Linked DNA regions of Cricetulus griseus. The protein of the gene in region 1 interacts with the protein of each later gene in a biochemical or structural test. Links are inferred from orthologs where the notes say so. Each region holds a gene or a part of one and is shown in the gene's direction. Other genes may lie near its edges. The genes, in order: Prmt1, Fbl, Btg2, Fus, Khdrbs1, Hnrnpa1 and Habp4.

What was found.
Region 2: of the proteins of Prmt1 (region 1) and Fbl, one has a biochemical effect on the other in vitro, tested with the Homo sapiens proteins (2 studies listed by BioGRID). The link is inferred for Cricetulus griseus from reciprocal best matches to the Homo sapiens genes PRMT1 and FBL.
Region 3: the proteins of Prmt1 (region 1) and Btg2 form a complex in vitro, tested with the Homo sapiens proteins (2 studies listed by BioGRID). The link is inferred for Cricetulus griseus from reciprocal best matches to the Homo sapiens genes PRMT1 and BTG2.
Region 4: of the proteins of Prmt1 (region 1) and Fus, one has a biochemical effect on the other in vitro, tested with the Homo sapiens proteins (3 studies listed by BioGRID). The link is inferred for Cricetulus griseus from reciprocal best matches to the Homo sapiens genes PRMT1 and FUS.
Region 5: of the proteins of Prmt1 (region 1) and Khdrbs1, one has a biochemical effect on the other in vitro, tested with the Homo sapiens proteins (2 studies listed by BioGRID). The link is inferred for Cricetulus griseus from reciprocal best matches to the Homo sapiens genes PRMT1 and KHDRBS1.
Region 6: of the proteins of Prmt1 (region 1) and Hnrnpa1, one has a biochemical effect on the other in vitro, tested with the Homo sapiens proteins (3 studies listed by BioGRID, with this or other methods). The link is inferred for Cricetulus griseus from reciprocal best matches to the Homo sapiens genes PRMT1 and HNRNPA1.
Region 7: the proteins of Prmt1 (region 1) and Habp4 form a complex in vitro, tested with the Homo sapiens proteins (2 studies listed by BioGRID, with this or other methods). The link is inferred for Cricetulus griseus from reciprocal best matches to the Homo sapiens genes PRMT1 and HABP4.

Annotation. Positions count from the first base shown.
Region 1 is NC_048599.1:153,870,337-153,874,779, reverse strand, and holds the start of Prmt1 (protein arginine N-methyltransferase 1), read left to right. Parts: upstream 1-1,542; 5' UTR 1,543-1,613; coding exon 1,614-1,649; intron 1,650-3,877; coding exon 3,878-3,931; intron 3,932-4,136; exon of another isoform or gene 4,137-4,236; coding exon of another isoform or gene 4,237-4,239; intron 4,240-4,423; coding exon 4,424-4,443. UniProt on the Homo sapiens protein: Arginine methyltransferase that methylates (mono and asymmetric dimethylation) the guanidino nitrogens of arginyl residues present in proteins such as ESR1, histone H2, H3 and H4, FMR1, ILF3, HNRNPA1, HNRNPD, NFATC2IP, SUPT5H, TAF15, EWS, HABP4, SERBP1, RBM15, FOXO1, CHTOP, MAP3K5/ASK1, MICU1 and NPRL2.
Region 2 is NC_048602.1:7,928,238-7,932,485, reverse strand, and holds the start of Fbl (rRNA 2'-O-methyltransferase fibrillarin), read left to right. Parts: upstream 1-1,373; 5' UTR 1,374-1,510; coding exon 1,511-1,520; intron 1,521-4,248.
Region 3 is NC_048598.1:55,128,124-55,132,550, forward strand, and holds the start of Btg2 (protein BTG2), read left to right. Parts: upstream 1-1,388; 5' UTR 1,389-1,482; coding exon 1,483-1,624; intron 1,625-2,831; coding exon 2,832-3,166; 3' UTR 3,167-4,427. UniProt on the Homo sapiens protein: Anti-proliferative protein; the function is mediated by association with deadenylase subunits of the CCR4-NOT complex. Activates mRNA deadenylation in a CNOT6 and CNOT7-dependent manner. In vitro can inhibit deadenylase activity of CNOT7 and CNOT8.
Region 4 is NC_048596.1:72,802,645-72,806,409, reverse strand, and holds part of Fus (RNA-binding protein FUS), read left to right. Parts: intron 1-1,525; coding exon 1,526-1,670; intron 1,671-1,816; coding exon 1,817-2,004; intron 2,005-2,216; coding exon 2,217-2,430; intron 2,431-3,765. UniProt on the Homo sapiens protein: DNA/RNA-binding protein that plays a role in various cellular processes such as transcription regulation, RNA splicing, RNA transport, DNA repair and damage response. Binds to ssRNA containing the consensus sequence 5'-AGGUAA-3'.
Region 5 is NC_048595.1:23,290,969-23,294,733, forward strand, and holds part of Khdrbs1 (KH domain-containing, RNA-binding, signal transduction-associated protein 1), read left to right. Parts: intron 1-3,248; coding exon 3,249-3,373; intron 3,374-3,765. UniProt on the Homo sapiens protein: Recruited and tyrosine phosphorylated by several receptor systems, for example the T-cell, leptin and insulin receptors. Once phosphorylated, functions as an adapter protein in signal transduction cascades by binding to SH2 and SH3 domain-containing proteins.
Region 6 is NC_048595.1:399,611,527-399,616,090, forward strand, and holds the start of Hnrnpa1 (heterogeneous nuclear ribonucleoprotein A1), read left to right. Parts: upstream 1-1,594; 5' UTR 1,595-1,737; coding exon 1,738-1,752; intron 1,753-2,305; coding exon 2,306-2,422; intron 2,423-2,657; coding exon 2,658-2,804; intron 2,805-2,948; coding exon 2,949-3,159; intron 3,160-3,558; coding exon 3,559-3,651; intron 3,652-3,738; coding exon 3,739-3,831; intron 3,832-3,986; coding exon 3,987-4,061; intron 4,062-4,263; coding exon 4,264-4,422; intron 4,423-4,564. UniProt on the Homo sapiens protein: Involved in the packaging of pre-mRNA into hnRNP particles, transport of poly(A) mRNA from the nucleus to the cytoplasm and modulation of splice site selection.
Region 7 is NC_048596.1:281,798,079-281,801,843, forward strand, and holds part of Habp4 (intracellular hyaluronan-binding protein 4), read left to right. Parts: intron 1-1,891; coding exon 1,892-2,063; intron 2,064-3,765. UniProt on the Homo sapiens protein: Ribosome-binding protein that promotes ribosome hibernation, a process during which ribosomes are stabilized in an inactive state and preserved from proteasomal degradation.

The DNA of each region.
Region 1 (4,443 bases):
GTACCATGAGAAATGGCATGGAAGCATAAAGGTGGCAAGAGCCGCAGGTAACTAGGGTGGAACTGTAAAGCGGGAATGGAGGTAGTTTAAGGATTGAGACATTGTCCTGGGGGTGCAGGGAGGCCCAAAAAGGCCATAGGCAGAGATGAGCTGCAGGGATTGGCAGGTGGGAGCACTAGGGCTGAAGGCCTTGGGGATTGACAAAACTGACGGAGGGAATTGGAGGGAAAAGCCCAGAGGCTATTGATATTTGGGATGAAGTAGCAGGATAGGCAGGAGTCAATCAAGAAATCATACTGAACCAGGCAATGGTAGCGCACACTTTTAATCTCAGCGCTTGGGAGGCAGAGACAGGAGGATCTCCGAGTTCCAGGACAGCCAGAGAAATTCTGTCTCGAAAAAACAAAAAGAAAAATCATACTGGCTGGAAGAAGTTTACACAAGCCTTAAATCCCAGCACTTTGGAGACAAAGGCAGGCTGTACCATGAGACTCTGCCTCACACCAGATACCTTACGTGTGCAGCAGATGGTGCAGTGCTTGCCGCTCAAGACTTGACACACGCACGCACACGCACACTAAACAGTGTTAGGAGTCGGAAGGAAGAAGGTCATCTGAGCACGAGGAGGCCTGGAGTGGAGAGGCACATTTGGGAACTTAAAGGACCCTGTGCTTGGGCCGAGTACTGGTGGGACAAAAGGTAAGAGGCAGGGGCACAAACCCAGCAATTGGCATCCATCTTCAGGCCAGGAGTAACTTTCTGCAGATCCAGGGAAACTTCCTGGAGGAGATGGAGTCCAAATTGCCGCGTGGGAGTTGGCCAAACAAAGGGAGATGGGTGTTTCATGCAAAGGACTAGGAGGCCACAGGTCTTCAGAACTCGGCACAGTCCAGTACAAGGTTATGGCTCATCGCACTGACATTCACTACGACTCCTGACAAGTTTCAGGACCCCTGATGAGAACGCCTCCACATCTACTCACAGCGACTCGGCATTTTCCCCTAGCTCGCCCACGCGCCCCAGTTCCGGAGAAGCCACCGAACGTTGATGACTGATGTTCCTGGGAGCCAATCGCTTCCGCCCAAAGCCCCGCCTACCTCCTTGTGGGCCAATGGTCCCTGTCGTTCTTGGCCAGTCTCTCGAAGGGACTGGAACAAGAGCCCTGCAACGTCACGTTTTGCTCAGCTAATTGCGGCGACGGAGAGGCGGGCCATCTTAATGATCCACAGCAGAGTCTCTCGACATCCGCTTAGCGCGGAGCCCGCCGGGAAGCTTCAAGGCGGAGCTGGCCGGAAGGAGGCGGGAAGACCTGGTGGGATATCCTCCAATCATCACATGCGCTGCCTAAGATAGACAGACAGTTGTTCCCTTCCTAGCCGACAGGAGGGGGTGGTCCTTTGAACGCTAGGAGGGGAGGGCGCCCGAATTTTGATAGACGTGCTCAGCGCCCAATTGCAGTGCGAGGCGGTTAGATTGACGGCTGCGCCAGCCATTGGAAACTTATGGCGGGGTCTCGGGGGCCGGGCGGTGGACCCTCTGGTAAAAGGCGGTCCCCGGCCGGGGGGAGAGAGAAGAAAGGGGGGGGTCTCGGAGGCCGGAGGACTCGGGTGAAGATGGCGGCAGCCGAGGCCGCGAACTGCATCATGGAGGTGAGTAGCTGGGCTCTTTAGGCCAGTGGGTAGGGGGAGGACGACGGGTTACCCACGGCCTGAACTGTGGAGACGGGGCCTTGGGTGTGCTGGGCCTCGCGGAGGTCCGCATCGGGGGATGTGTTCAATCGTGACCGGGGCGACCCCAGCTTATGGGACTCTCGGACCCCGCAGTCGAGTCGAGGGCCGTCGCACGTGGTCGCGGGCCGGGGGCGCGTCCAGCCGGGCCGCACGTGGTCGCGCAGCGTAGCGTGGGGAGGGGGGTGTGCCACTCGAGGGGCCCCGCGGGTTCCACGTGCGGGACAAAGGCCCCGCCCCCGGCCCGGTGACCTGGGCTGCACTCCGGGGGTCCTGGGGGGTGCCACCTGCGTCCTGCTGTCCGCTGGGTGGTGGACATCCGTGCACCCTCGTGGGGCCTGACCTCACTTTCCTCCACTCTGAGTTACCCCTGTGCGGTTGGGGGGGGATGGGCAGAGCCCTGTGACCTCTCTGTTAGAGGATGGTGGGGCATCTCCACCGAGGAGATCCGGATCCGGCGCCGGGCACCCCCTCGTGGTCATTATGGGCTTGTGAAAGGGGCTCTTTTTCATGGGGCGTGGCCCAAAGCCCACCCCCTCATGGAAGCGCCCTCGGGTGGATGGTCAGAGGTCGGTCTTGGGGCTGGATGGCTATGTAGGCACGCAGACCAAGGGGCCTTGACCCCCACCCGACCCCTTTTTTAGGATTCTCACCTTTGCCTAATTTCCCCCCCAAAACAGAATCAAATTCTAGCACCTGGCTTATTTGCTTACAGTTGAGTGTTTCCACCCCTGAGCTGTATTCCTCAGTCCACTTTTTACTAACTTTGATGCAAAGTGGGTCTGGCCTTGAACTCACCCTGTAGCCCAGGCTGGCCTTGAACTTGCCATCTTTGCTTAAGCCTTCCGGGTAGCTCTCGTGAAAGACTTCACTACTAGGCCTGTAAATCAGATCCTCTCCTAGTCTCAGGTTTCAAACCCTCTTCAGGAAGCCGTGTGGTGGTGCATGCCTTTAATCCCAGGACTCGGGAGGCAGAGACAGGCGGATCTTTGTGTGTTCAAGGCCCATTAGAACAAGTTCCAGGACAGGCTTCAAAGCTACACAGAGAAACCCTGTCTCAAAAAAAAAAAAAAAAAAAAAAGCCAGAAACAGAACAAACCCTCTTCAGTCAGTTGTTAACCTGCTGGTATCTGTACTACTGAAAAAGAGAGGCCCACATGGGAACTCCCCCCACTGGCTACCCGACCCCTGAGGTGGTAGATCGTGGCCTCTCTGGCCTTAGATAGCAGTCATCTATCTAATGGGATAATGATGGGATATAATCTGGTGGTACCCATACCTCTTCAAGTTCTCTGGAGAGGAAGGTCAGTTGCTGGGACACCTGCCATGGGGATCAGTTCGCCTACAGTGTCACTGAAGTGACCCTGGGCCTGGCACTTGTGGACAAAGGAAAAAGAGGGCAGTTTTCAGTGTGGGGACCAAGGTGGGGTGTGAAAGGGGGGGCTTTCGTAAGCTCACACGTGGCGGTGGGGCTCAGGCGGATTTTGGCAGAAATATTTATCGTAACAGCTTGCCCCAGCTTTCCAAGGCATATTTTGTACTCCTGGGGGGCAGCCCTCTTCCGGGGGCAGGTAAAACAAAGAGCCTTGCTCTGTGTGTTCCTTGCCCGGGTGGAGCTGGGGTGGTGTACTCACTGTGGTGTGGGGGTATGCCACATTTCTCTATTGGAATGATCTTTGGCCAGGAGACAGGATTGTGATGGGGCAGACAGGTGCCCAGCACCCATTACCTGTCAGCCCCCTCCGGTTTATTCATGGCACTTCAGCCTGGTGTGTCTGTCAGGAAATGTCACCTAATCTAGGGGGGATTAGGTAGTGAAGGGGAGCAACAGCTGAAAGTGCCCATGTGCCTTGGCAGGTATTGGGCCCTCTGGCCTAGATAGGGTAGGTATGTGTGGCCAGTTATCTGACCAGAGAGGGACAACATGGGGCGGGCCACCATCTCTTCAGCCAACAGCTGGGACAGGAGACCCCACCTTCCTTTCCCTCCCCACTTGTATCCCTTCCTTACACAACTGCAGCCACACTGCTTGCTCCTGCTTACACCACTCCCATGCCCAGGAAAAGCCAACCTGCAAAACACTCACTGCCCCAAAGGCCTTCCCCAGCCACCCCAGTAGCTAACCCTTTTTCCCTGTTACTCTCTCCTAGAATTTTGTAGCCACCTTGGCTAATGGGATGAGCCTCCAGCCGCCTCTTGAAGAAGTAAATATCCTTTTGTGAGACCCCCCCAGCCCACTTGCATATAAGCATACTTTGATATGCACCTGGCTCCTCAGGAGGTCTATTCATCCTCTTGCTTCAAACCAGTTTCCCCTGCTGTGGCCCCTAAACACATAGGACAGACCCCTTCCTGGCCCAAGCTGGCTCCCCCAGAACCATGGCTGCTTCCTTAACTCCATCTCCAGCCCTCCTCCTCTGGCTTTCAATGTGTCTGCCCTGGCTCTGCCCTCCCTTCCCTCCCTCCCCAGCTGTGGGCTGAGCTAGAGACGGGCATAGAGCCTGGAGAGATGGTAGGCGAGGCGGCTGCTCCCTGGATGGTGCTCTGGGTGGGTTCTGAAGTGGATACCGTCCCTTGGGAAGAAAGATGCCGGAGGGGGCTGTAGGGCTGTCCCATTCTGAAGAGGGGCCTTCTTGCAGGTTGAGGAACCTCTGAAGAGCCCACCTGTGACCCTTTTGCTACTCCCCCTCTTTCAGGTTTCCTGTGCTCAAGCAGA
Region 2 (4,248 bases), on another chromosome or scaffold:
GTAATAGGATTTTATGGTAAGAATCCCCTTGAAAAGTCGGGCGTTGGTGGTGCACGCCTTTAATCCCAGCACTCAGGAGGCAGAGGCAGGCAGATCTCTGGGAGTTCGAGGCCAGCCTGGTCTCCGGAGCGAGTGCCAGGACTGGCTCCAAAGCTATATAGAGAAACCCTGTCTCGAAAAACAAAACAAACAACAACAACAAAAAAAAGAGAATTCCCTTTAAGGCTTATTTTGTCTTTAAAAAGGAAAGAGAGTATGTTGGAGGCTAGGGTGACCCTGACAACCATCCATCCAGCCCTTCCCTGGCATTTGGCTGTCATGACTACCATCCAAGCAGCCCCCTCTTGGCATCCACCTGGCCTGTTGTCATAGCAACCTGGAAGCTCCTGGATGCTCCACAGACACCTCCTGGAAGCTACACGTCTACAACCACTTAATTCTGAAAGACAACTCCTGCTGGAGCAGGCACTATTCTAGCCCTGACTGTTGCCTATTTACACGGCTTTTTTTTTGCCATCAGAAGCCTCTGTAAACCTCAGCGGCCATTTCACCCAGGCCCAAGGGTAAACCCTTTGCCTGATAAGGCAACAAAAAGCCTGGTGTTGGTGCAAATGGGGTCTTTTCAGTAGCCCTGATGTGGCTCTTTGGGACTATTTTCCTGGAGACCAGGTGGCTCCCGTGCTGCCCCCTGGTGGTGCAACACTAACCCCGGGCCTTGTGCAAACTCCTTTGCTCCACCGATGGGATCTTTATCATAGAGGGGGCGGGATCCATGGCGCGCAGAGGGACAGACGGCAGAACCACCGGCCAAGCAGCAGTAGCCAGGACGCTGACAGCCGGGCAGTGAATTTAGAGGCAGCTGCAGCGACATTAGGGTGACTGAAGATTTCCAGAAACAGGCCAGGGGTAGGGAGCAGGGGTAGTGAGGAGCAAATGGGGGGGGGGAGAGGGGGTTGGAAACGCATATGCGCAGCCTGGAGACCCAGAGATCTTCAAGTTCCGGGCGGGCCCGGGCCTCGCTGCAAAACGAGCACACGCTGCTCTTGCAGAAGACGCAGGATCGGGTCCCACCCCCGCCTGCAACTGCAGCTCCAGGGGGGATCCGCTGCCCTCCCGCCCTCCCTCTTCTGCACAGCACGCGCGTGGTGCACAGACAACGCGGCGTGCCGCCGGAACGCCTCCGGGGCTAAAGTGTAAAAAAAAAATAATAAGCAAACCTTCGAGAAAAAAAAATAAAATAAACCACGGTTCGAGTATAACCAACCCCTGACTCTTAGAGCGAAAAAGCCGCCGCGGCGGGGCGGGCGAGGGAAGCCCGCAGAGATTGCAGAATTCCCGCCCAAGGCACGGCACTTCCGGGAGAGGGGAGCGGGGGCGGGGCCACGCGCTGCCGTCACGCGCCGCGCGTCGCCCCGCGCATGCGCTCCTCTCCACGTGCGAGCGCCGGAGACGCGTGGAGTCCGGGGACGCTGCTGATTGCGGGAGCCGCGCGGCCGGGAGGGACGCAGCGATGAAGCCAGGTAGCGGCGGCGGCGGCGGCACGGGCTGGAGCGGGGCTCCGGGCACCGCGGCGGGACGGACGGACGGAGGGAGGGAGGGAGGGCGGCCGGGGGCTGCTCGGGAGCCGGGGAGTGTGACCGCACAGACCGGCCTGCAGCCTCGCCGCTGCATCCCGGCCCTCCTGACCCCGGCTCCGGGGCGGGGCGGGGGAGAGAGGGGCACCCGGCTTGGATCGTAGGTGGGACGGCTCCGGATCGCGTGCTTCCCTCTTCCCGCTGTCACCGCTGCCCCAGGGGGGACGAGTGAGGACCTCCGGGGCGGTGCTGCGCGGCGATCGCGTGCGCGGCTCGCCCTCTCTCTCCCTCGCTCGCCCGCTGCGCTTCCGGGAGGGGCGGGGTCCTAGCCCCGGAGGAGCTGACGATCGGGGGGTCGGGAGCCCCTGCTCGGCGCCGCGAGACGCTTTGCAAGCCTGGCCTTAGCCGGCAGGGCGATCAGAAGTGAGAGCGGTTGGTGTTGGTCTGAGTTTTTTGAGACTGCGTCTCGCTAGGAGACGCTGGCTGGCCTTGGAACTCACTCTGGAGACCAGGCTGGCCTCGAACTCAGAGATCCGCCAGTGCCTCTGCCTCCCCCGATTGCTGGGATTTAAGGCGGGCGCCACCGCCGCCCGGCGGGACAAAAATGTTTCCTTTATTTCCCGCCCTTTTTCTGGTGGATGAATCCACCGCACGGTGGACGCTGGTGCGCGTTCTGGTTTTGACAGTAGGAGCGTCTCTTTTCTTTCTCTGATTTTTTTTTATTTGGTTTTTTTCCGAGATTGGGTTTCCCTGTGGCTTTGGAGGCTGTCCTGGAACTAGCTCTTGTAGACCAGGCTGGTCTCGAACGCACAGAGGTCCTCCTGCCTCTGCCTCCCGAGTGCTGAGATTAAAGTTGTGCGCACCACCAACGCCCGGCTTCTTTCTCAGATTCTTAATGCTTAAGTGGCTTTTTGTTTTGTTTTGGTAATGTGTGACTCCGGGCTGTGGCAGCCCATGCTTGTCAGTCCCGGTACTCGGGAAGCTGGGGTAGGTGGGTGAGGAGTTTGACACCAGCGTGTGCTACAGTAATGATAGCATGAGCTTTGCACCGGTGCCCAAGGATCAGTTTTCGCTAATGGCAGGTTTTTGCCTGGCGTGCGCCCACATGTTCCTGTAGACGGATGAGAGCCAGTGCAGGGTATAGTGACCCATCTTCCCCTCCCAAGCATGTTGAATAGAATTTCTGGGATCCCCCCCCCACCCCCCCCCGTTGGGGAAGTCTGGCGAAGCGAAGGAGGGTGGAGGGATTGCTGTGTGTTCTACGGCTATCCTGTGCTCTGTGATTCCCCCCACCCCGCCCCAGGAGGACTTTTCCCTCCAACCTTTCTCTACCAAATGATGGAAGAAGTTGTGTGGTGACAGTTTGTCTTGGATGACAGAACCAGCTTTGGAGGAATCCTTTTGTTGTTTTTGTTTGTTTTTTGCTTTTTTTTGTTGTTGTTTTTTGGTTCTTTGAGTTAGATGGGGTTTCTCTGTGTAACCACCCTCGATGTCCTGGAATTTGCTTTGTAGACCAGGCTGGCCTCCAACTCTCAGAGATCCTCTTGCTTCTTCTCCCCCCAGTGCTGGGATTAAAGACCTGTGCCACCATTACCAGCTGGGGGAGATTTTTTTTTCAGTTTTTTTTAATTTGAATTAGAAACAAGATTGTTTTATATGACAATCCCAGTTTCCCTTCTCCCTCCCTCCTCCCCTGCCACCCCCCCCCCACTAAAACCCTATCTATTACATATCCTTTCTGCTCCCCCTGGATGGTGAGGCCTTCCTTAGGGTGTCATCAGAGTCTATCATATCCTTTGGGATAGGGCCTAGGCCCACCCCAGTGTGTCTTGGCTCAGGGAGTGTCCCTCTATGTGGAATGGGCTCCCAAAGTCCACACGTATGCTAGGGATAAGTACTGAACTACCACAGGAGGTCCTGTAGATTTCTGAGGTCTCCCACTGAAACCCATGTTCCTGGGGTCTGGATCAGTCCCATGCTGGTTTCCCAGCTGTCAGTCTGGGGAGCAAGAGTTCGCTGGGGGAGACTTTTAAGCAGACGTGTGCTGTAGAATCTGGTGGGCATTTTTAAACAAGGCCATTTGTTGTTTTTATGTTTGTGTTTTGAACTGGGATCTTGTTGTATAGCCTAGGCTGACCTCAAACTCACCCTCCCCAAGCGGTGGGATTGCGGGCAGGTGATACCTCGCTCTGCTGGAAAGCTACTAGAGGGAAGATTGTGGGCATGCCATCTCTTTGAGTAATGGAGTCTTTTTTGTTCATTTTCCTAAAAACTCCAGGACCTGAAATAGACCAAGAGACATGTTGAGTATCTGGGGCTGAGAGGCCCCCCCCCCCCCCCCCCCCCCCCCCGGCCCACTGCTCTCCAGGAAGACACCCACAACTTGCCAGGCTCCGTTATCCTATATACTCTGTGTGCATACAAAGTCATGTGATTTTACAACAGACTCCCATGCACCTTCCCCGATAGGGTCCTGGGTGACAATGGCGTGGCCATCCTCACGACTCGCCTCCCCCACCCCTCCCCCCAATCACCAGCCTCTGGGGAGATGGCCGGACACTTGCTGATGTTTATTGAGCTTCATGTTGTCCAGGGAGCTGGGGTATTTTGGTAACCAGAATCTTACAATTCGTTGTGCATTTGGAACTTGTGAGGGCCAGCGAGAGTGCCAGAA
Region 3 (4,427 bases), on another chromosome or scaffold:
CAGACAGTCTAGCAAGTGGAGTAGTTGTCTCATATTCTGAGTCCTTAGGAAAAGGACTCTATTCCCCCAGGGAAGGCCTTTTGGGGCAGGACTGGGTAAGAAGGCATCAGTCTTGGGACTAGGTCTGAGGTAGAGGTAGTGATCATAGCTTTGGCTGAAAGGAAGACCAGGGAGGGCAGCACTAGACATCCACAGGGAGGGACAGCATGAAAAAGATGGAAGTACTGACGTGGAAATTCACTGAAGAAAAATAAATAGCAGAAGGGAGAGCTCTGGATAGGAAGCAGAAATAAAAGGGAAGGGGAACACAGGGTGGGAAGGGCACAAAGGACCCAGAAAGGGAAGCTGGTGGGGACAGGTAGAGAAGCCTGGGGGCGCTGCTTCTCAGTAACAAACACACACACACACACACACACACACACACACACACACACACACACACACACAACCTCAGGATTTTACACAAGCCATGGAGCTAAGTTCATTTAACAAACAGGGTCTCATTGCAGGTCAGATCCTGTGCTGGGCTCAGAGGTGTGGGTGACAAGTTGCCCATTCAATAGTCTGCCTAGCTTCCTGGTACCAGTCCTTGAGCCCCCAAGTGTAGACGAAGCCAGAGCCAAAGCCTTTCTTCTGGGGAGATAGTATTTACAAAAGCCTTCATCCACAAAGAGGAAGGAAGACGAATCAGTGAAGAGGGAGGAGCAGAGGGCCAACGGAAAACTTTGTACTGCTCACACCAGACTACTTAAAAAAAAAAAAAAAAAGCCACTTAAAGGGAAGTGAGAACTGGAAAAATAACCCAATGGACAGAAAAGTCTCTCCTCGACATTCCTCCCACTGCGACACCAGTGAGAGCTGATTGCTTTTAGGCAATTGCTGAAGAGGAAGAGCAGAATTTGTTGGGTAAGGTGGAATTATTATGGAAGCAAATAGACTACAATCCCCATTGCCGAAAACATGAGGAGCCGGTTCTGACCAGCTGGGAGAGAGTGGCAGAGATGACCTGGCGCCAGAGTGTCTGTTTTGGGGAGGCGTGGGAGAAGTAGCATCGGCGAGGACATCCTGGAGGAGGTGGCAGGCAACCGCTGCCTTGGAACTGTGCAGAGGCGACGTCCGGGCATGCCCGGTGTGGCGCGCTTCCTCTGCCCAGGTCCTGGTCCCTCTCCCGCCCGTCTTCCACCGCTCGGGAGTCCGGTGCTGGTTCCCAATACTGACGTCAGTGAGCGATGACCTCAGCGCCCGGGAGGCGCGGGCGAGCAGGCAGGCGGGAGGGCGGGGGCGGGGGGCGGCGGAGAAGAGAGGCGGGGCAGCTAGAGAACACGCCCCCATCCGCCAGCCTCGGCCAATGGGCGCCGCCTGCGGCTCCCCGCCTCCGCGAGCGGTATGAAAGGCGCAGCCGGAGGAAAGTCCGGGCAGAGCCCGAGCGGCGGCCAGACCACCCTCGTCTGGACATTACAGCTCCTTACCCAGCCGCCCGGCATGAGCCACGGGAAGAGAACAGACATGCTCCCGGAGATTGCCGCCGCCGTCGGCTTCCTTTCCAGCCTCCTGAGGACGCGGGGCTGCGTGAGCGAGCAAAGACTCAAGGTGTTCAGCAGGGCGCTCCAGGACGCACTGACCGGTGAGCGCACGTCGGGGTCCCAAAGCCACCGGGGAGCGGCCCCTCCTTGCCTGGGGTGTCTTTCCCCACTGTTTCTGGGACGGAGACCCCTACGCGAGCGGCGCCTGGTCTCAAATGCCTTGCTCTAATCTGCGAGGCCGCCTGTTGTCCTTCGTCCCTTGGTTTAGATCTCCGCCTCCCCGCCCTCCAGTCCCCGCCGCCTCGTTCCCAGGGCGCTGACCCTCTTCCTTGAGTACATTCTGAGTCCCTAACAACACCACGGAAAGAGCCAGTGGTCTGCGCTCAGGTTCCTAACTCAACTCTTTCTCTGAATCTTGGAGACCTCCAGTCCAGACCCTTGGGGGATGCTGTGGGCCACGAAGCCAGGTCAAGCTATGCGACTTTATGCGCAATTGAACTTTTCGAGTCCCAAACACTGTTGTTATAGTCCTTGGCCTACCATTGTCCTGGACCATTCTGCTGCTTGTTTACCCGCTGGAAGTTGTAATCTGGGCCCCCTTTGTATTTATTTCTTTTGGTTCCTCTTCACCATCTGCCACCTATTGTAGTACAGAAAAGAGTCCAGTAGCCTAGCCTGCTGGGGGTGGGGGTGGGGGTGCGAGTTATGGAGGCAGGGCAGGGTGTGAGGCAGGGAGGTGGAGGAGTGATAAGCAGCCCTTTCGCCTCTGCCTCCAGCTGTTATAGCTGGTTGGTTGCCTTGGGCAGCGATAGCCATCTCTCAACATGCTGGCACAGATCTGAGGACCAACAGCTGTTTCATCAAAACAAAACCATTTTTATTCCCTTACCTTTGCTAGAGATCTCATGATTCCTCTGGTGGGGGAGGGATGGGAGGCCTGGTGACTTGCTGGACACCCAACAATGTTGGTCGCTCACTGGGCTTTGAAATTTCAGTGTCTGGGTTCTCAGAGACCCTGCCTGTTCATACTAGCCCATCCTTCCTTAAGCTGGATTGTGCCAAAAATATCCCTGACCCCCGGGAGAGCATCTACCTGAAAGCTCTGGGGCTGCCTTCCAATGTACATGTCCTTGGAAAAGGCCCAGGGATCTTTCTAAGTGGCAGGGGGAGTTTAAGGAGAGGCTCTGAAATACTGTCACTGAGCCCTTCCTCTTTTCCCGGCCCTCTACTCTCATCCTCCCCTTGTGGTAAACATCAGAGACAATACTTTTCTAACCAAAGCATCTCCCTCTTGTCCTTCCTCCACAGATCATTACAAACACCACTGGTTTCCAGAGAAACCATCCAAAGGCTCTGGCTATCGCTGCATCCGCATCAACCACAAGATGGACCCCATCATTAGCAAGGTGGCCAGCCAGATTGGACTCAGCCAGCCCCAGCTACATCGGCTGCTGCCCAGTGAGCTGACCCTGTGGGTTGATCCCTATGAAGTGTCCTACCGAATCGGTGAGGACGGTTCCATCTGTGTCCTGTACGAGGAGGCCCCGGTCGCTGCCTCCTATGGGCTCCTCACTTGCAAGAACCAAATGATGCTGGGCAGGAGCAGCCCCTCGAAGAACTATGTGATGGCTGTCTCCAGCTAAATAGGAGCCACCCTACCCGGGCACTCTACTGTACTCATGCTGCCGTGACAACAGGCCACCGTATACCTCAACCTGGGGAACTGTATTTTTAAATGAAGAGCTATTTATACATGTTATTTTTTTTTAAGAAAAGAGGAGAAAAAAAAACCAAAAGATTTTTTTTTTTAAAGAAAAAAAAATCCTTAAAGGGAGCTGCTTGGAAGTGGCCTCCCCAGGTGCCTTTGGAAAGAACTGTTATTGAATTTGTGAGCCAGTGTTTGCCTAGAGGAGTGGTTTGGGGATTGGCCTAGCCAAGGTAAAGGGGGATTCTTGGCTGATCCCCCAGGAGGTGGTAAAAGGGAGCAAGGAAGGTTAGCAACTGTGAATGAGAGGGGTCAGGATCTTTCCTGGGATGCCTGGATGCCTGGATGCCTGGATGCCTGGTTCCTCTCTTACTCAGGGGCATTCAAGCCTGGTCTTAAATAATACTACATTGCCTAATCTTCTTTTGTGTTTCTGCTGAGACCCTGGGTAGAGTGAACGACCTCTCCTGTTCCTTCTGTTCTGAGCAGGTTCTCTTGAAATCTTGTCTCATTCCTGAGTCTACCCTTGGGGACCTGGAAAGGCTGTTTCCCAGCCAGGAATCTATATGAACATATTTGGAGGGTGGGATGTAAGGCAGGTGTGCAAAGACTTGGGTATAGATGGAGGGAACCACACAAAACCTTTGCTCTGCTCTGTGCTGCACTGCTTTGTATGGATGGATGGCAAATAATTTAGGGGTGATTTGCAATGGAATTTTGGGACCCAAAGAGGGATGGTTCTCTCCCTCCCTTTTCCTAAACCCTGCTTTTGGGAACCACATGAAAGTCCGAATGCTGCTACCATTATTCCTTTGAGAGGTGGCTCAAAGCTCCAGGGAACTCCGGGTCCTTTCTTACTGCCTTCTCCTCAAGACTCCTGTTCCCCGCTCCCCTCTTTCATGTGATTGGGTCCTGGAGGGCCCCATTTCCTAGGACAGGAGTTCTCAATCACTGTGCAATAGTCCCAGGAAATTCTGAGACTGGGCCTCCTAGCCCCTCCTGGCGCCCTGGTGGGTTCTGGCTGGCCGGTGGGTCTTGCAGAGATCTTTCTAGGCTGCAGAGAGAGTGCCTGTGCACTAGCTGGTTTTGTGTAGGGCTGCCACTAAGAGCCACACTTTGGGCACAGCTTTATCTCCTTGGTGCTCAGAGCACCTATGGGGGAGGTTGTCTCTCTCAGTAAAATCCAAATTTATCTGTAG
Region 4 (3,765 bases), on another chromosome or scaffold:
GGGGTTGTGTGGGTGTGTGGAGAGATGGCCCAGCAGCAGTTAAGAACACTGGCTCCACTTCCAGAGGATCTGTGTTCATTTTCCAGCACCTACATGGCTTATAACTGTAACTCCAATCAAGGGATCTGATGCCCTCATCTGGACTCTGAGGGCACCAGGCAGGCAAAACATCCCAGCATTTGGGGAGCAGAAACAGGCTAATCTGAGGTGGAGGCCAACCTGAGCTACATAGACCTTGTTTAAAAGAAAACAGAAAACAAAAAAAAAAAAAAACAGCAAAAATGGTAGTCAACATCAAAGCACCAATTAAAGACATTTTTGTTTTGAGACAAAGTCTTATGTTGGGCAGGCTGGCCAGATACATGTGTATTTGGGGATGGCCTTGAACTGTTAGAATCAAAGGTATAGTTGGTTTATATGGTACTGAAGATGAAACCCAGAGCTTGTGTATACTAAGCAAGCACTCTGTCAGCTAAGCTACATCCCCAGCTCACTCCTCCTCTGCTTGAAACAGTTCTACATTGTAGGCATGAAACACTGGATTTGGTGAGTTTCAAAATTTACAGAGGAGTTTTTGTTTTTGTTTTCAAAACAGGATTTCTCTGTGTAGTCTTGACTGTCCTTGAACTCGATCTCCCTGCCTCTGTATCCTGAGTTCTGGGATTAAAGGCGAGTGCCATTACTGCCTGGCTCTACAGAAGTTTTTTTTTTTTTTAAACTAGGCAGTCATTATGATTTCTGTATTTTTTATTTATTTTGTGTGAGTTCAGGCATGCTTGTTTACGTGTTGCATATGTATAGGTCAAAGGACAGCTTTCTAGGGTTAACTTTTATGATAGTTCTGGTTCTGGTGATTGAACCCAGGTTGATAAGACTTTCACAGCGCAGGGCGGTGGTGGCACACGCCTTTAATCCCAAAACTTGGGAGGCAGAGGCAGGTGGATTTCTGTGAGTTCGAGGCCAGCCTGGTCTACCAAGCGAGTTCCAAGACAGGCTCTAAAACAATACAGAGAAACCCTGTCGGTTTAAAAAAAAATGATAGTTTCATTAAGATGCCAAGATTGGCCATAAACTAACCTTGCTGCCCCAGTCTCCTGGTAGCTGGCCTTTGTCAGTAAATTGCTTACTAGCTGACCTACTTTTTAAGTAATGGGTGAGTGCTGGGAGGTATATAATGTTTTAAGTTATTCCTTGCCGCATGCCGCCTTATGTTGACCTGGAACTGGATATGTAGACCAGTTTGGCATCAATCAGGGGAGATAATCTGCCTCTGTCTCCCAAATGCTGGGATTAAAGAGTACAACTATACCTGGCTTTTTTTTTTTTTTTTTTAATCTTTTTGGTTTTTTCGAGACAGGGTTTCTCTGTAGCTGTGAAACCTGTCCTGGCACTCTCTCTGTAGACCAGGCTGACCAACAGAGATCCGCCTGCTTTTGCCTCCCAAGTGCTGGGATTAAAGGTGTGTGCCACCAATGCCCAGCTTTTTTTTTCCTTTATAGCATTTGTAACCCTGTTTTCTTTGTAGCAGGCTATGGCACTCAGTCAGCTCCCCAGGGATATGGTTCCACTGGAGGCTATGGCAGCAGCCAAAGTTCCCAATCTTCTTATGGGCAACAGTCCTCCTACCCTGGCTATGGCCAACAGCCAGCTCCTAGCAGCACCTCAGGAAGGTAAGGTAGTATGGGTGTGAATAAGGCCAGAAAATGGTGGTGAATTGTTTGATCTCTGAGGAGTAAAGAAAGGGAATGGACTAAAAGTGAAGCAAGTGTTTGGCTGTTTTGCAGCATAATTCTGGTTTTCTTTGTTTTCCACTTAGTTATGGTGGCAGTTCTCAGAGCAGCAGCTATGGACAGCCCCAGAGTGGAGGCTATGGCCAACAGTCTGGCTATGGTGGACAGCAGCAAAGCTATGGACAACAACAAAGCTCCTACAACCCACCTCAGGGTTATGGACAACAGAACCAATACAACAGCAGCAGTGGAGGTGGTGGAGGGGGTGGTGGAGGTGAGAAAGTGTCTTCAGTTTTGCCTCCTTACTCTATGAATTTGCCCCTTTTCTTGTTTACTAAGTTTCTAATTTTTATCATTGACCATTTATTTCCATACTTCCTATCCTCTCACTTGTTGCTGACAATTGAAACAGAAGTTTGTATATGCTAAGTAGTGCTAAGCTTTTTTTAAAGCATTATTACTAACTTTTTTTTTTTTTTTTAAAAGGCAACTATGGCCAAGATCAGTCCTCCATGAGTGGTGGCGGCGGCGGTGGCTATGGCAATCAGGACCAGAGTGGTGGCGGCGGTGGTGGCTACGGGGGAGGCCAGCAGGACCGTGGGGGCCGTGGCAGGGGCGGTGGAGGTGGTTACAACCGAAGCAGTGGTGGCTATGAACCCAGAGGCCGTGGAGGTGGCAGAGGAGGCAGAGGCGGCATGGGGTAGGTGTTTCGTGAGTCAGGGAGTACCTTCTGTGGGGGAGTGATGCATGGATCTCCCTTGAAGTCAGTCCCTAGTGCATGGTTAGTATTGTTTTCTGGGGATATGTAAGGGCTTCAATTTGTGGGCAGTAGTGTTTCTTTGTATATTCCTATTATGTTTTTGTGAGAATTTGGGAGCCAAAATCCCATTTACAGCTCTTGAGTAGAGATTTGAGTATTGGTTCATTTATTTCTAAAGAAAAAGAATATACATAGATACATGTGGATTGTCATTGTTATCTCAGGCAAAAAAAAACTTGGGAGTAAAGACTTCTCTGCAAGGGAAACCTATTAATCCCATTCCTGGGAAATATTAGGGGAAACTTGTCCTGTGTATTCCCATGTGTCCTCCAGGGGAGTTGGTAATAATGGTAAACTTGACCTCAGCTTCTAGGAATTGGCTATTTACTCATCCATATTCTGTAGTTACTTGAATCCGTGAGCCTGATTTGCACTAATTTGACTGATTTTGTGTGTGACTTGGTTCATTTATGGGGTCTTCTGACTGAAGTGTGCAAACTTTTGGGGCAAAATAGACTTGACAGTGGTACTCTGCTTTCTTATTCCACTGTCCATCTTTTCTCGGTCAGTTAAAATGAGCTTGTCCAACTGGATCTCTCCTTGTTAAAGTAAAACCTTAGATTTGATGTTAAAACAGTTTGTCAAATCTCTTGGTGACTTTGAAGGACCCTGTTACTTCCCTTGAATGGGGAAAAAAATGTCAGTCATATGTTCCTTTTTTTGGAAAATAGTAGGTTTTTTTTTGAGTTTGTACGTGGTAAGTATTCAGAGGTGGGTGGGGGAAGTCTCAAGAAACATGGAAAAGTGGAAAAAACTAGTTGTGTGCGTGTGTTTAATGCAAAACTTTAAAAAGAAAAGCAACTGTTATGTGACTGTTAACTTGCTCTGCATTTTATGTGCCACAGGTATGAAAGGTGACATTGCAAAATACTCCGCTCTTCTCACAGTGTAGAAGGGGTGACCCCGGGGGTAAAGGGTGATCAAAAACAGCTCAGTAGTTAGGGCTTAGCTGAGTTTGTCTTGCTCTAAGGGAAAATTGCCTTTGGTTATGACTTTTTATGGAATGGGGTTGGGTCTGCTTGCTGCTTTCAAAGCAAAAACCACACAAACAAAATGTGTTCAGGGCTATCCCAGGGGCCTGGTGTGAAATGTCTTCTGGGTAATTTGGGGTAGATCTTTTAAACCAACTGCTGGGTTGTCCACCACTTGCAACAAGAGGAAAAAAAAATCTACGTCAGAAGAACAACCAAGGAAAAATGAGCTTTTTTTTCCAGG
Region 5 (3,765 bases), on another chromosome or scaffold:
CAGATCTCATTACAGATGGTTGTGAGCCACCATGTGGTTGCTGGGAATTGAACTCAGGACCTCTGGAAGAGTAGGCAGTGCTTCTAACCTCGGAGCCATCTCTCCAGTCCCCTATTAGAGAGGTTTTGTGAGGGGAAATATTTGTTAGGTATTGAATAAATGTTCAGTTCTTCTACTTCTAAATATGGAAGCTGACCCTTGTTGAAGGCTCAGGTTATTTATTACTCTTGCTTCCTAGGCTGTTCTGACTCCTTTGCATGTATGTGTGGAACCAGTTCAATGTCTTGTGTCTTTCTCAGTGCTTCTTTATCTTATTTTTTTTATTGTACTTGCTACTTGTTTAATCCCCCCCCCCCCCCAGGGTTTCTCTGTGGCTTTGGAGGCTGTCTAGAACTAGCTCTTGTAGACTAGGCTGGTCACAGAGATCCGCCTGCCTCTGCCTCCAGAGTGCTGGGATTTAAGGCATGCGCCACCACTGCCCAGCTGTTGCTACTTATTTTTTAAGATAATCTCACTGAACCTGGAGCTCACTGTTTTAGGTTGGTGGCCAGCAAGCCCAGGGATTCCCCATTCTCCTGTCTTCATATCCTCAGATCTGGGATTACAGGAACATGTCACCTCATCCAGGGGTGGGTGTGTGTGGGTGTGTGTGTGTGGGTGGTTAAATTCCTATTATCATTTTTTTTGTGCATCAAGCATAAATGACTAACACATCTCCCCAGCCCTACGTCAACTTGAAGTTTTATTGATCATTCTGTGAATTCTCTAAAATGCTTTATTTTCTTTAAAAAATTGTGGAAAAATAGGAAAAGGATTCTAAGATCCAGTAATAGTTCAGAATATATCAAAGTAATTCTGTGTCATTGGGAGGCCCTAAATTTATAGAGTATGTTACATTGCATTTAGACAAACTTTCCTACCATCAGTCCAGCTTTTGAGTCTTCTTGTCCTGGTTAAATAAGGTTTCTGCAAAGTGGCACAAGCTACAACTGAAGGGCCTAATTACATCTCAGTAGTTAAGAATGACAGAGGAGCCCTGTACTTAGGGGGGATGCAAGCAAGAGGAGCCCTGTACTTGGGGATGCAAGCAGAGCCAAGAGTTCCCATCTTAATGAAGCTGCAAATTCAGAGTACCTTTGTTCCGATTATGTCTGTGGCCTTGGTGGTTATGATGGTTTTAGGGTGTGTGTTTATCTCTAGACTTCTTGTGGTATATACTATGAACAGCATTTTTGTTTCAGTCTTCCAGTGAGTTTTTCTTTTAAATTCTTGTGTATGAGTATTTTTCCTGCATATGTGTATTTAGCCAAGGAGGCCAGAAGAGGGCATTGGATCTCCTCAAACTGGAGTTACTGGTGGTTGTGAACTGCCATGTGGGTTCTGGGAAATGAACCCGTTGGGTGCTTTAAAGAGCAGCAAGTGAGCCATCACTCCAGCCCTTCTGTTGTTTTTAAATTTTTTGTATTTTCTTGTTTTGGATATTGAGTTTGGTCTAGATAATAACTATATTATTCACATACTAAGGAATAAACTTTGATCTTGTCTTTTTTAGTTGGCTTTTTAAATTTTTCTTTTTTATTTTAGGAAAGGTCTCATTTACCTTGGCTGTCCTCAAACTTTGAAGTGATCCTCCTGGTTGGCTCCTGAGTTCGGGGACCACAGGCAGGCACAGCATACTGCATTGTCACTGTCCTTATAGGTTGATTTTGCCTGTATTATTTTTTTATTTAAAAGATTTTATTATTATGTATACAACATTCTGCTTCCATGTATATCTGCACACCAGAAGAGGGCACCAGATCTTATAACGGATGGTTGTGAGCCACCATGTGGTTGCTGGGAATTGAACTCAGGACCTCTGGAAGAGCAGTCAGCGCTCTTAACCGCTGAGCCATCTCTCCAGCCCCCAATTTTGCCTGTATTTTATAGATGAGAAAGCAAATATGCAGGGCAGTTAAGTAACTTGACAGCTATTGTGTGACAGAGAAAGAGCAGGGTCTTTCAAACAAAATAGAAAACAACTATTATTGCTATAGTGGAATGGTAATGGAGTTGTCTGTTATTATATTTAAATACTAGTTTTTGGTTTTTTTTGGGGGGGGGAGGTCGAGACAGGGTTTCTTTATTGCTTTGGAACCTGTCCTGGAACTCACTCTGTAGACCAGGCTGACCTCAAACTCACAGAGATCGCCTGCCTTTGCCTCCTGATTTCTGGGACTAAAGGCGTGCGCCACCACTGCCCGGCTAGTCTTTATTTCTTTATTGGGAAACTTCTTTCTCTTAACTGGTCAAGTGAAACTTTGGGACTGAAGAAGGAAGAAAGGTCTGTAATTTGTTGTGGTCAATTAGCTGGAAACAGCCACCGTGCCCAGACTTTATATATGTATATGTGTGTGTGTGTGGGGTATGTATTTATTTAGTTTTAGCTTTAATTTTTATTTGTGAGTGTCAGTGCTCATGCAGTCCAAAAGGCTGCTTTGGATCCTTGGATCTTTAGAGGCGGTTGAGATTCACTCTGCCATGGGTGCTAAACTCAAGATTTCTGAAGAGCAGTGTGTACCCTATTAGCTGAGGCATCTCTCCAGTTACCTCTTTCTCTCTCTCTCTCTCTCTCTCTCTCTCTCTCTCTCTCTCTCTCTCTCTCTCTTTCCTCATCTCTCTGTATTAATTTAGATAAATGCATACTCTTTTGTTTTATTTATTTATTTATGGACAGGATTTCTCTGTGTAGCCCTGGCTGTCCTGGAACTTACTTTGTAGACCATGTTGGCCTTGAACTCAGAGATCTACTTGCTTCTATCTCCTAAATTCTGGTACTCCTGGCTAATGCATGTATTCTAGTTTGTTTGTTTGTTTGGTGTTATTAGTTTTTTGAGACAGGTTTTCTCTGTGTAGCCCTGGCTATGCTGGAACTCACTCTGTAGACCAGGCTGGCCTCTAACTCACTGACCTCCTAACTGTTGGGATTAAAGGTGTGCTCCTCCACTGCCCAGCATGCGTGTGCTCTCATCAAGAAACATGTGACTGGAGGGCACAGACACTTCAGGAGAGGAGGGTGGAAAGCAGGATTCGGGTCCCCCAGTCAGTTTCATAAAGCTTTGGGTGTCTCATCCAGTCTGCCTAAAATTAGCACATTCTTCTGAACTGTTTGGTTTTTTTACACAGCACTTCATAATACTGTTTTAAGCAGTCTTGCCAGGTACCTTTATTTACAAGTACAAAAATTAAGTTCTGCTTTTCTTATTCAGAAATTGAGAAGATTCAGAAGGGTGAGTCAAAAAAAGATGACGAGGAGAATTACTTGGATTTGTTTTCTCATAAGAACATGAAGCTGAAAGAACGGGTACTGATACCTGTCAAGCAGTATCCAAAGGTAAGTGTCAAAGCGGCTCACTTGTGTGAGTTAACTTCTAGGCTGGTGATGAAGATATGGGCTCGCCATGTTATCCCACCTGTAAAGCTCCTCTGTGCTTGAAGTACCTGTTTCTGGAAGTTAAGATATCAAAGTCCATAACTAATAGCATAATTGTAGTTAACAAGGAAACAATTACTTTTAGTAATCAAAAGTAATTTCTTTTTCATATGTTTGTTCAGGCTCTAAGACCAAAGTAACATTCTGGATCCTTAAAGCACTGCCCTTTGTCAAAAGATTTACTGTAGTTGGTTTTTTACTCTTTGGGGGCTGGCCACTCAGCTCCCAAACAAAAACACAGAGGCTCATAAGCCTTGGCTTGGCCTGTTTCTAGCCAGCTTTTCTAACTCAAA
Region 6 (4,564 bases), on another chromosome or scaffold:
AACAAAAGAACCAAATGTGTCCATTTTTTTTATTAAGCCTTTCATTATTCCATTAATGGCAATCACCCCTCAAATATCAGACATACAAACAGGCCTCTACCCCACTGTGTCAATAGAAGCAATACACTTCGACCTGTAGCTCTCGAAAACTTTTTCTGTGGCCATAGAAATACAGATGTGTCCCTGGACACCGGTGGTAGAGGTAAGTCTATTTTTCTCGGAAGCTTTCCATTACAATACTTATGTAGCCATTTCAACCTAAAACTTTAATTAAATGTTTTCCTTTAAGAATTTTCAAAAACTAAAGCCTCCCTCCCTAAGTTCTTCAAAATATCAAGTGAAGGGATCTAAAAGAGCAAGAAAAATGCCAAACTAGAGGGGAACAAGAAAACATGCTTTCGTTAAGGTGATGTAGGGAATGATTGCCTCCACTATAGGAGTCATTGTAGATAAAATATGCACCCCTACAATTCCCTCTGAAGGCAAGATGCCTCTCTTTCAAGGAATCTCTCCATTTACTTGATCCAGGTTTGGTCCATGGATTTAACCTCCCGACTCCCGCGCTCCCCACTGGAGTCCAGCCTCTGCCGCTTGGAGAAGGCCGGCCTATCGCGCGCTTGGAGCTCATTGGCTCTGAGAGACGCCACTCGGGCGGGAAAAGCCCGCCTCCCGCATTCGGATGGCCCAAGGGCCGATCCGTAGGCAGCTATAGGAAGACCCAATTGGCCTATACACTCGTCAGTCAAACGCTCTGGTAGCGCAGCCCAAAAGGACCTGGCAGAATTAAAACATCCCGCCCCCGTTCTCCCATTGGCTGGCCCGACCCATCGCGGCCCCTTCACTGTCGCTCCCCCAAGTCCAGCGGGGCCCATTCATTTCGTACAATAACGAGTCCAATTGGAGCGGGTCCAGGAACTCCCACGGTTAGTCAAGACTCTGCCACTTACCCGGGATCTACAGTGACCACTCACACTAAGGCCTGCGCGGTTCCTCTGTGGTAAAGCTGCACCACAAGCCACCCGCTACCGCCGCCTTCTGCGCAACGCCAGCCGCCCGCCAAAACGGATCCTTTCCCTGCGCCTGCGCAACCAATCCTGGGCCCAGACCTTTTCTCCGCCCAAAACGCCTGCGCAAAGCAGGACGCAGCTCCCGCCAGTACGCAGGCGCCTTAGGTTCACCGCCCTCTCCCGCCCGCCGCCCGCCATTTCACGTGTTCAGTAGGCGAGCGGAACTCCTTAGTGCGCCGGCGTAAACTCGCCATTTTTATTACACATGCGCTCTCCGGGCAGTGGCTGCAAAAGTGGTAGCGAACTACTTTTCCTAACGTGTCGTGTTTTGCCAAGTGAGGTTATAATGTTCGGACGCTGGGAAGTTATGCAAGGCGTTTAAAGACATGGGTACATTCAAATATAAACCACTGGTTAGCTAGTCAATCAACCTGGTTAAAAAAAAAATCCCCCAGAGCGTCGATGACTCCGAAGGGCGGAGACTGCGTAGAACGCCCCAGCAGATGCCATCTCTTAGCAGGGCGGATCCACAGACCTAGAGTGGGCGGGAACAATTCCAGATCTCCAATCAGAGTAAGGCCAGGGCGGAGTCTACCAATGCCGAAAGCGAGGAGGCGGGATAAAAAGGCGAGCCGAAGGTAGGCTGGCGGATACGTTCGTTGACTTACTCCTTTCTGCCTGTTGACGCGGCGGAGGAAGCATCGCTGAAGGCTCTCGTTTCCCTGCCGTCATGTCTAAGTCGGAGGTGAGTTGTGCGCGCTCTGCGGCTTCGTTTCCTTCCATACGCAATGAACAGGACGGGATGCGACCTATTTTTCTGGCTGGCACCCATGCTTTCGGTGTTTGATCGGTCGTTGCCGAGGCCTGCTCACAAAGTGCAGGTCGCCATTTTGTCCTCGTAGTCGCCATGAGGCTGCCGTCCGCTAACCGCTAGTTTCCACACTCGGCTCCTAGTGGCAGAATTCACAGATATGCGACCTTGGGGGTTGTGGCTCTTTTTATTTTCTTTCTTGGCTTTGCCTAACTAACGTCTGCTAAGGCTTCAGTAAGTTTTAATGGCGATTGACCAGTCCAGCCCGTGTCTTTTGTTGCGCGTGCGTATAGAGTAGGGACGCATGCGCTGCATGCTAGTCCTCCCCCCCACGCCCCAACAGCACCTCCTGGCCCAGAGAGGAGCACGTGGTCTTGTGCTGTAATAAAGAACAATAAAAAAGTGCGGCCTATGTTGATGCGTGGAGTTGATCCATTCGCTCAAGTTCCAGCCCCTTAGCTAACGGCTCTCCTTTGATCCGATTCAGTCACCCAAGGAGCCGGAACAGCTGCGGAAGCTCTTCATTGGAGGGCTGAGCTTCGAAACAACCGACGAGAGTCTGAGAAGCCATTTTGAGCAATGGGGAACACTCACCGACTGTGTGGTAAGATTAGAAGGAACAAAAGGCGGGGCTGGTTTAATTTTATTGCTTTAATCATGCCGCACTTCTTACCCAGATGCTTTGTGAAGGTAATTAATGGTATAATTTTAAAAGGATCTTTGTTTGGGGGCCTTATGCTTGAGTCTAAATGGAGTTTTATGCTGGACATGTTCAGAGTTGGAATGGCCTCAGGTCCTGATATCAGGCAATATGTTGATTGAATTAACTCTATAAACAGGTAATGAGAGATCCAAATACGAAGCGATCCAGGGGCTTTGGTTTTGTCACGTACGCTACTGTGGAAGAAGTAGATGCCGCTATGAATGCAAGGCCACACAAGGTGGATGGCAGAGTTGTGGAACCTAAGAGAGCTGTTTCAAGAGAAGTGAGTGTTATTATGCTAATAGTTGGGTTCTCTTTTATCTAGACGCCAGATAGACCCCTAGAGTGCTGGGATTAAAGGCGTGGGCCACCACAGCTGCCAATCATTTGAAATGTACTAATAATGACTGCATCATTTTCCTTTTAGGATTCTCAAAGACCAGGGGCCCACTTAACTGTGAAAAAGATCTTTGTTGGTGGTATTAAAGAGGACACTGAAGAACATCACCTTCGTGATTATTTTGAGCAGTATGGGAAGATTGAAGTGATTGAAATCATGACGGACAGAGGCAGTGGGAAAAAAAGAGGGTTTGCTTTTGTCACCTTTGATGACCATGACTCTGTGGACAAGATTGTTAGTAAGTGTCAGATAATTAGATTTCTCTCCTCCTCCTCCCTCCCCCACAAACTGGGAATATTCTGTAGCTTTGGGTCCTTTCCTGGAAATGAGACCCGCCCTCAAACTCAGATGGCCTGTCTCTGCCTCCTGAATGCTGGGATTTATGGGGTGTTCCACCCCCCAGCCAGATTACATTTTTCTTTTGGGTGGATTCGAGACAGGGTTTCTCTGGCTTTAAAGGCTGTCCTGGAACTAGCTCATGTAGACCAGGCTGGTCTGAAGCTCAGAGATCTGCCTGCCTCTGCCTCCTGAGTGCTGGGATTAAAGGCGTGGGCCACCAACACCCATCGTGCTCAGATTTCTTAATGACTGGGACTCAGTGTGTTTAAAGCCCTAAAGTTAACTTTTTTTTTTTAAGTTCAGAAATACCATACTGTGAATGGCCACAACTGTGAAGTGAGAAAAGCCCTGTCAAAGCAAGAGATGGCCAGTGCTTCATCCAGCCAAAGAGGTATCTCTTGCTTAGTTAGAACTTGCAGAGGGTAGTTGGGTTGTTGCTGCAAGTTGGTCTAATGTAATGATCCAAACATCTCTTAAGGTCGAAGTGGTTCCGGAAACTTTGGTGGTGGTCGTGGAGGTGGTTTTGGCGGCAATGACAACTTTGGTCGAGGGGGAAACTTCAGTGGTCGAGGTGTGTACCTTTTGGATTTCTTAATTGCTTTTGGAACGATGGATAACTGCTAGTCTTTGTTTATAGCATTTAGATTTTACCCAAAACATAAGTTTTCGTTACACAGAGATTAGCATTTGCTTCATTCATATACCTAAAGCTCTGGTTTCTTACAGGTGGCTTCGGTGGTAGCCGTGGTGGTGGTGGATATGGTGGCAGTGGGGATGGCTATAATGGATTTGGTAATGACGGTAAGTTTCTTAAGGAATCCGTAAGTAAAATTTCTAGCAACCTATACCTTTAGACTAGGCTAGTAGACACTAAACCTAGTGCATGACAAAATCAACCAGCCCCGTAATACGCATGCTGTGAGCAGGCCATTAGTCATTACACTTGCATAGATTTTTATTGTTAAATACTTTTGTCTTATTGAGAAGGCTTGTATTCTTGTAGGTGGTTATGGAGGAGGCGGCCCTGGTTACTCTGGAGGAAGCAGAGGCTATGGAAGTGGTGGACAGGGTTATGGAAACCAGGGCAGTGGCTATGGCGGGAGTGGCAGCTATGACAGCTATAACAACGGAGGAGGCGGAGGCGGCTTTGGCGGTGGTAGTGGTAGGTATCCAGTGATGCAAGTACTTGGTGTGATAGCTAGATTAGCCTTAGTTTATACTCCTGTGGACTTTAAAGCTCTTAAAGCATTGTGGGTACACTGCATGGTACATTGAAATAGGCTTGCTGTGCTACCTCCTCCTGG
Region 7 (3,765 bases), on another chromosome or scaffold:
TTTTTTTTGAGAGAAGATCTCTCGATGTAGTCTGTCTTGGAACTTGCTATGTATCCCCAGCTGTCCTGGAACTCACTTTGTAGACCAGGCTAGCCTCAAACTCACAGATATCCACCTGCCCCTGCCTCCGGAGTGCTGGGATTAAAGGCGTGTGCCACCATACCAGATTCTAATATTTTGAAGACCCACCAGACTGTTTCCTAAATTGACACATCACATTCCCCCAGCAATATACCTGGGCTCTAATTTTTGACATCCTTGTTAATACCTGTTAGCCTCTAAAGACACCTTTTTTCCTTTTGTTCTTCCTAAAACAGAATTTTTATATGTATGAGTGCTTCACCTGCATGTATGTATACATGTATGTATATGTACCACATGAGTGCCTGGAGCCCATGGGGTCCAAAAAGGAGCATTGGATCCCCTTGAATTAAGCCATAGCTGGTTGTTGTAAGCCACCAAATGGTTGCTAAGAGCCAAACCCAGGTTTTCTACAAGAGCCGGAAGTGCTCTTAACTGATGAACCATTTCTCCAGCCTAAGTGCCTTTTTGATACTAGCTGTCCTATTGGATGTGGACTGGTGTAACTCCTTGTGGTTTGAGCCACCTTTCTCTGATGACTAATGATACTGAACATTTGAAAAGTTTTTTGTTTGTTTGTTTGTGTTGCGATAAATCTTTCTGCCAAAAGCTGCCTGAGCCCCACTGCCATGTGTGAGCTTTATGTCAGCCGCCCACCAAAGTTAGGCCCAAATGAATACACAGAAACTTGTATTAGGTACAAAGCTGCTTGGCCAATGACTAGGATTCTCATCTGTTAGCTCAGTCTTAATTATCATAAATCTATATATGTTGTAAGACTTATCTTATCAGATGCCTTATTGGCGTCCCTCCTTGCCGGTGGCTCACATCCTGCCGCTGGAGGAGGCGAACGGGAAAAAGGGATGCTTCCTGTTTCTCCTTCGCTTAAATATGAGTCTCCTTGCTATGTCACTTCCTGCCTGGATCACCACTTCTCTACTACATTTCCCAGAATCCTCTTTGATTCCTAGTCCCATCTAACTTTGCTGTCTCATTGGCCAAACAGTATTTTATTCAACAATCAATAAGATAAACATACACAGTACATACCCCATCATGTTTGTTTGTTTTTGTGTATGTGCATGCAGTTCTTTTGGAAGCCAGAAGAGGGTACAAGATCCCCTGGAACTGGTGCTGTAGGTGCTGAGGATTTGGACTTAGGTCCTTGTGCTTGCAGAACAAGCCATCTGCTTGCCTGCTTCAAACATTTAAAACTGGGTTTTAAACATCTGGCTTTAAACATTTGAAACGTTTAGCTAGGATGGGGATAGAACACTTGCTTAACACATGTGAGCCCCTGAGCATTTGGAATGCTCCACTTAGAGCATTCCAAAAAGTCTACACTAAAAACCTCACTCAAAACTGAGTCATAGAAGAGAGTAAAAAAAACATGAACAATTTTCAACAGATTGTGATGAAATTTTCAGGAAAATATGGAAATATATAATGAGGTTTGGAGCATGGTCTTGGAGGGAGTCTGAAATAATATCCATTTGCTTTTAGAACCAACTGTAGGGGATATTTTTGTGACCCATTGTTTTAAGACTTCTGTCCATCTACCTTCAGGAAAGGTGCATGATGGTATAATTAATGGAAATGTCATGGGGCGATGACATCATTTTCATCTGTCTTCAGTTTTCAATGAAGGACAGGATGGTAAAGCTAAAACTCAGAAGATGTGACTCTGAGGGCTTGGGCTACTTTTAACCCTATTTACATTTCCGATGCAATACTACAAAAGTATAACTTTTTTTTCCATAGACATTTGGTCCCATTGGCCAAAAAAATTTGTTTTAATGTGCCATTACAGAGCTCCTGAGTTGGAGGTAGAAGAGGAAAATCAAGTCCATGAGATGACCTTAGATGAGTGGAAAAACCTTCAAGAGCAAACCAGACCAAAGCCTGAGTTCAACATCCGGAAGCCGGAGTCCACAGTTCCTTCCAAGGCAGTGGTGATTCACAAGTCCAGATACAGAGACGATGTAAGACTTCTGTATTGTTGACCTCATTGGGCACAAAACAGACCTCTCTCAGGGATGTGAAAACAGAACCTTGCTACTTCCCTCAAAAAAAAACCAAACATTTATTTTGTGTTGGGGTGTGCATGTGGAGGCCTGAGGAGAACTTGTGGTTCTCAGGAATAAAACTGAAGTCATCAGCCAGGCGGTGGTGGCGCATGCCTTTAATCCCAGCACTCGGGAGGCAGAGGCAGGTGGATCTCTGTGAGTTCGAGACCATCCTGGTCTACAAGAGCTAGTTCCAGGACAGATTCCAAAGCCACAGAGAAACCCAGTCTCGAAAAAACAAAACAAAAAAAAACCAAAAAACTGAAGTCATCAGGCGTTAGTGCCCACTTAGCCATCTTGCTAGCCTTCCACTTAGCGTTCTTGTTGTTTCTGCTCAAGCATCATGGAAAGGAACAGAACTTGGTGCCTTGACAATACTGAAGACACAGGTGCAGAGGGTTCTGCTCACCTTGGTCTCTTTATGAGAGAGGCTCAGCAGCTGTTTCAAAGGTCACTGACTGTATTTTGATGATTAGATTGCCATCCTCTCAGGTTCTTTTGTTTTAGACAGAGTCTTTTGTATGTAACCTGGCTCTCCATCCTCCTGCTTCTGTGCCCTGAAGGCCAGGATTAGAGGTATGGACTACCATGATCCTTATCTTTCACTCTCATTCATAATGAGTATTCCATTGGGTCAGTAGATCCCTTGAAACAATACCTGGGAACCTACATTCTGTGATCCCCTTGTTACTGTATTCCAGAAATTGCTGAGAATTTCCTAGATTGCTCATGGCATAGTCTGAGGGCATTATTCAGGTCTTGTGTGTTGCACAGGCCTTATTCTTCATGCTCTCTCTCTCTCTCTCTCTCTCTCTCTCTCTCTCTCTCTCTCTGTGTGTGTGTGTGTGTGTGTGTGTGTGTGTGTGTATGTATGCACACTTGCTCATGTACGTATCACTCCACTATACATAGCTGTATCTCCCCAACCCAGCATGGGGGTTTTTACCAGATGCCTGGACAGAGATGACCAGGGAAATATCAGTGGGTAATGACAAGGCTGATCACTTCATTCTTCTTTAGTTAGTGAACTTACAAGGAACACTGAAGTGTCAGGTGTAGAATTCAGGATTCCTGTTGTTCAAGTCACAGCACGAAACAGTGCAGATTGTGGTGATGAGCAAAATCATATTCCCTGCTGAATATGATTTGTTGACTGCCAGTCAAAGTTCAGAACACCGTAATTTTGTCTGTGTTTCATGCGCATTTTGGTCAGTTATATTTTCTGAGTACTTTATTTAGAATGCTGTTGGTGACACATTATGTCCACTCAGCCTCCTGTTTTGGTCAACTCATGGTCTAAAACACTTTACTAATAAGTTTTGAGATATTCGACCAAAGACAGTTTTTATAGACATGAGAGGCCAGAGCTAGCAGCAGCATGTAGGTAGCATGTCTTTTTGTTGTTATTCTTTTCTGTTGTGAACATTAGGAATAAAGCTTCCTGAGAAACCACTGTGCTGTAAGGCTGGGAAACAGGTAAAGATAGAAGCCAATTCCTCAAATCACATAAAATTCATCTTCCCTGGCAGCAGAGATCTGTTGATGCAACTAGTTTGGTCTTTGGTCCTTGTTAATCTATGGCATTGTAGAATTTAGCCAGGGATTGCTCTTAAAGCAA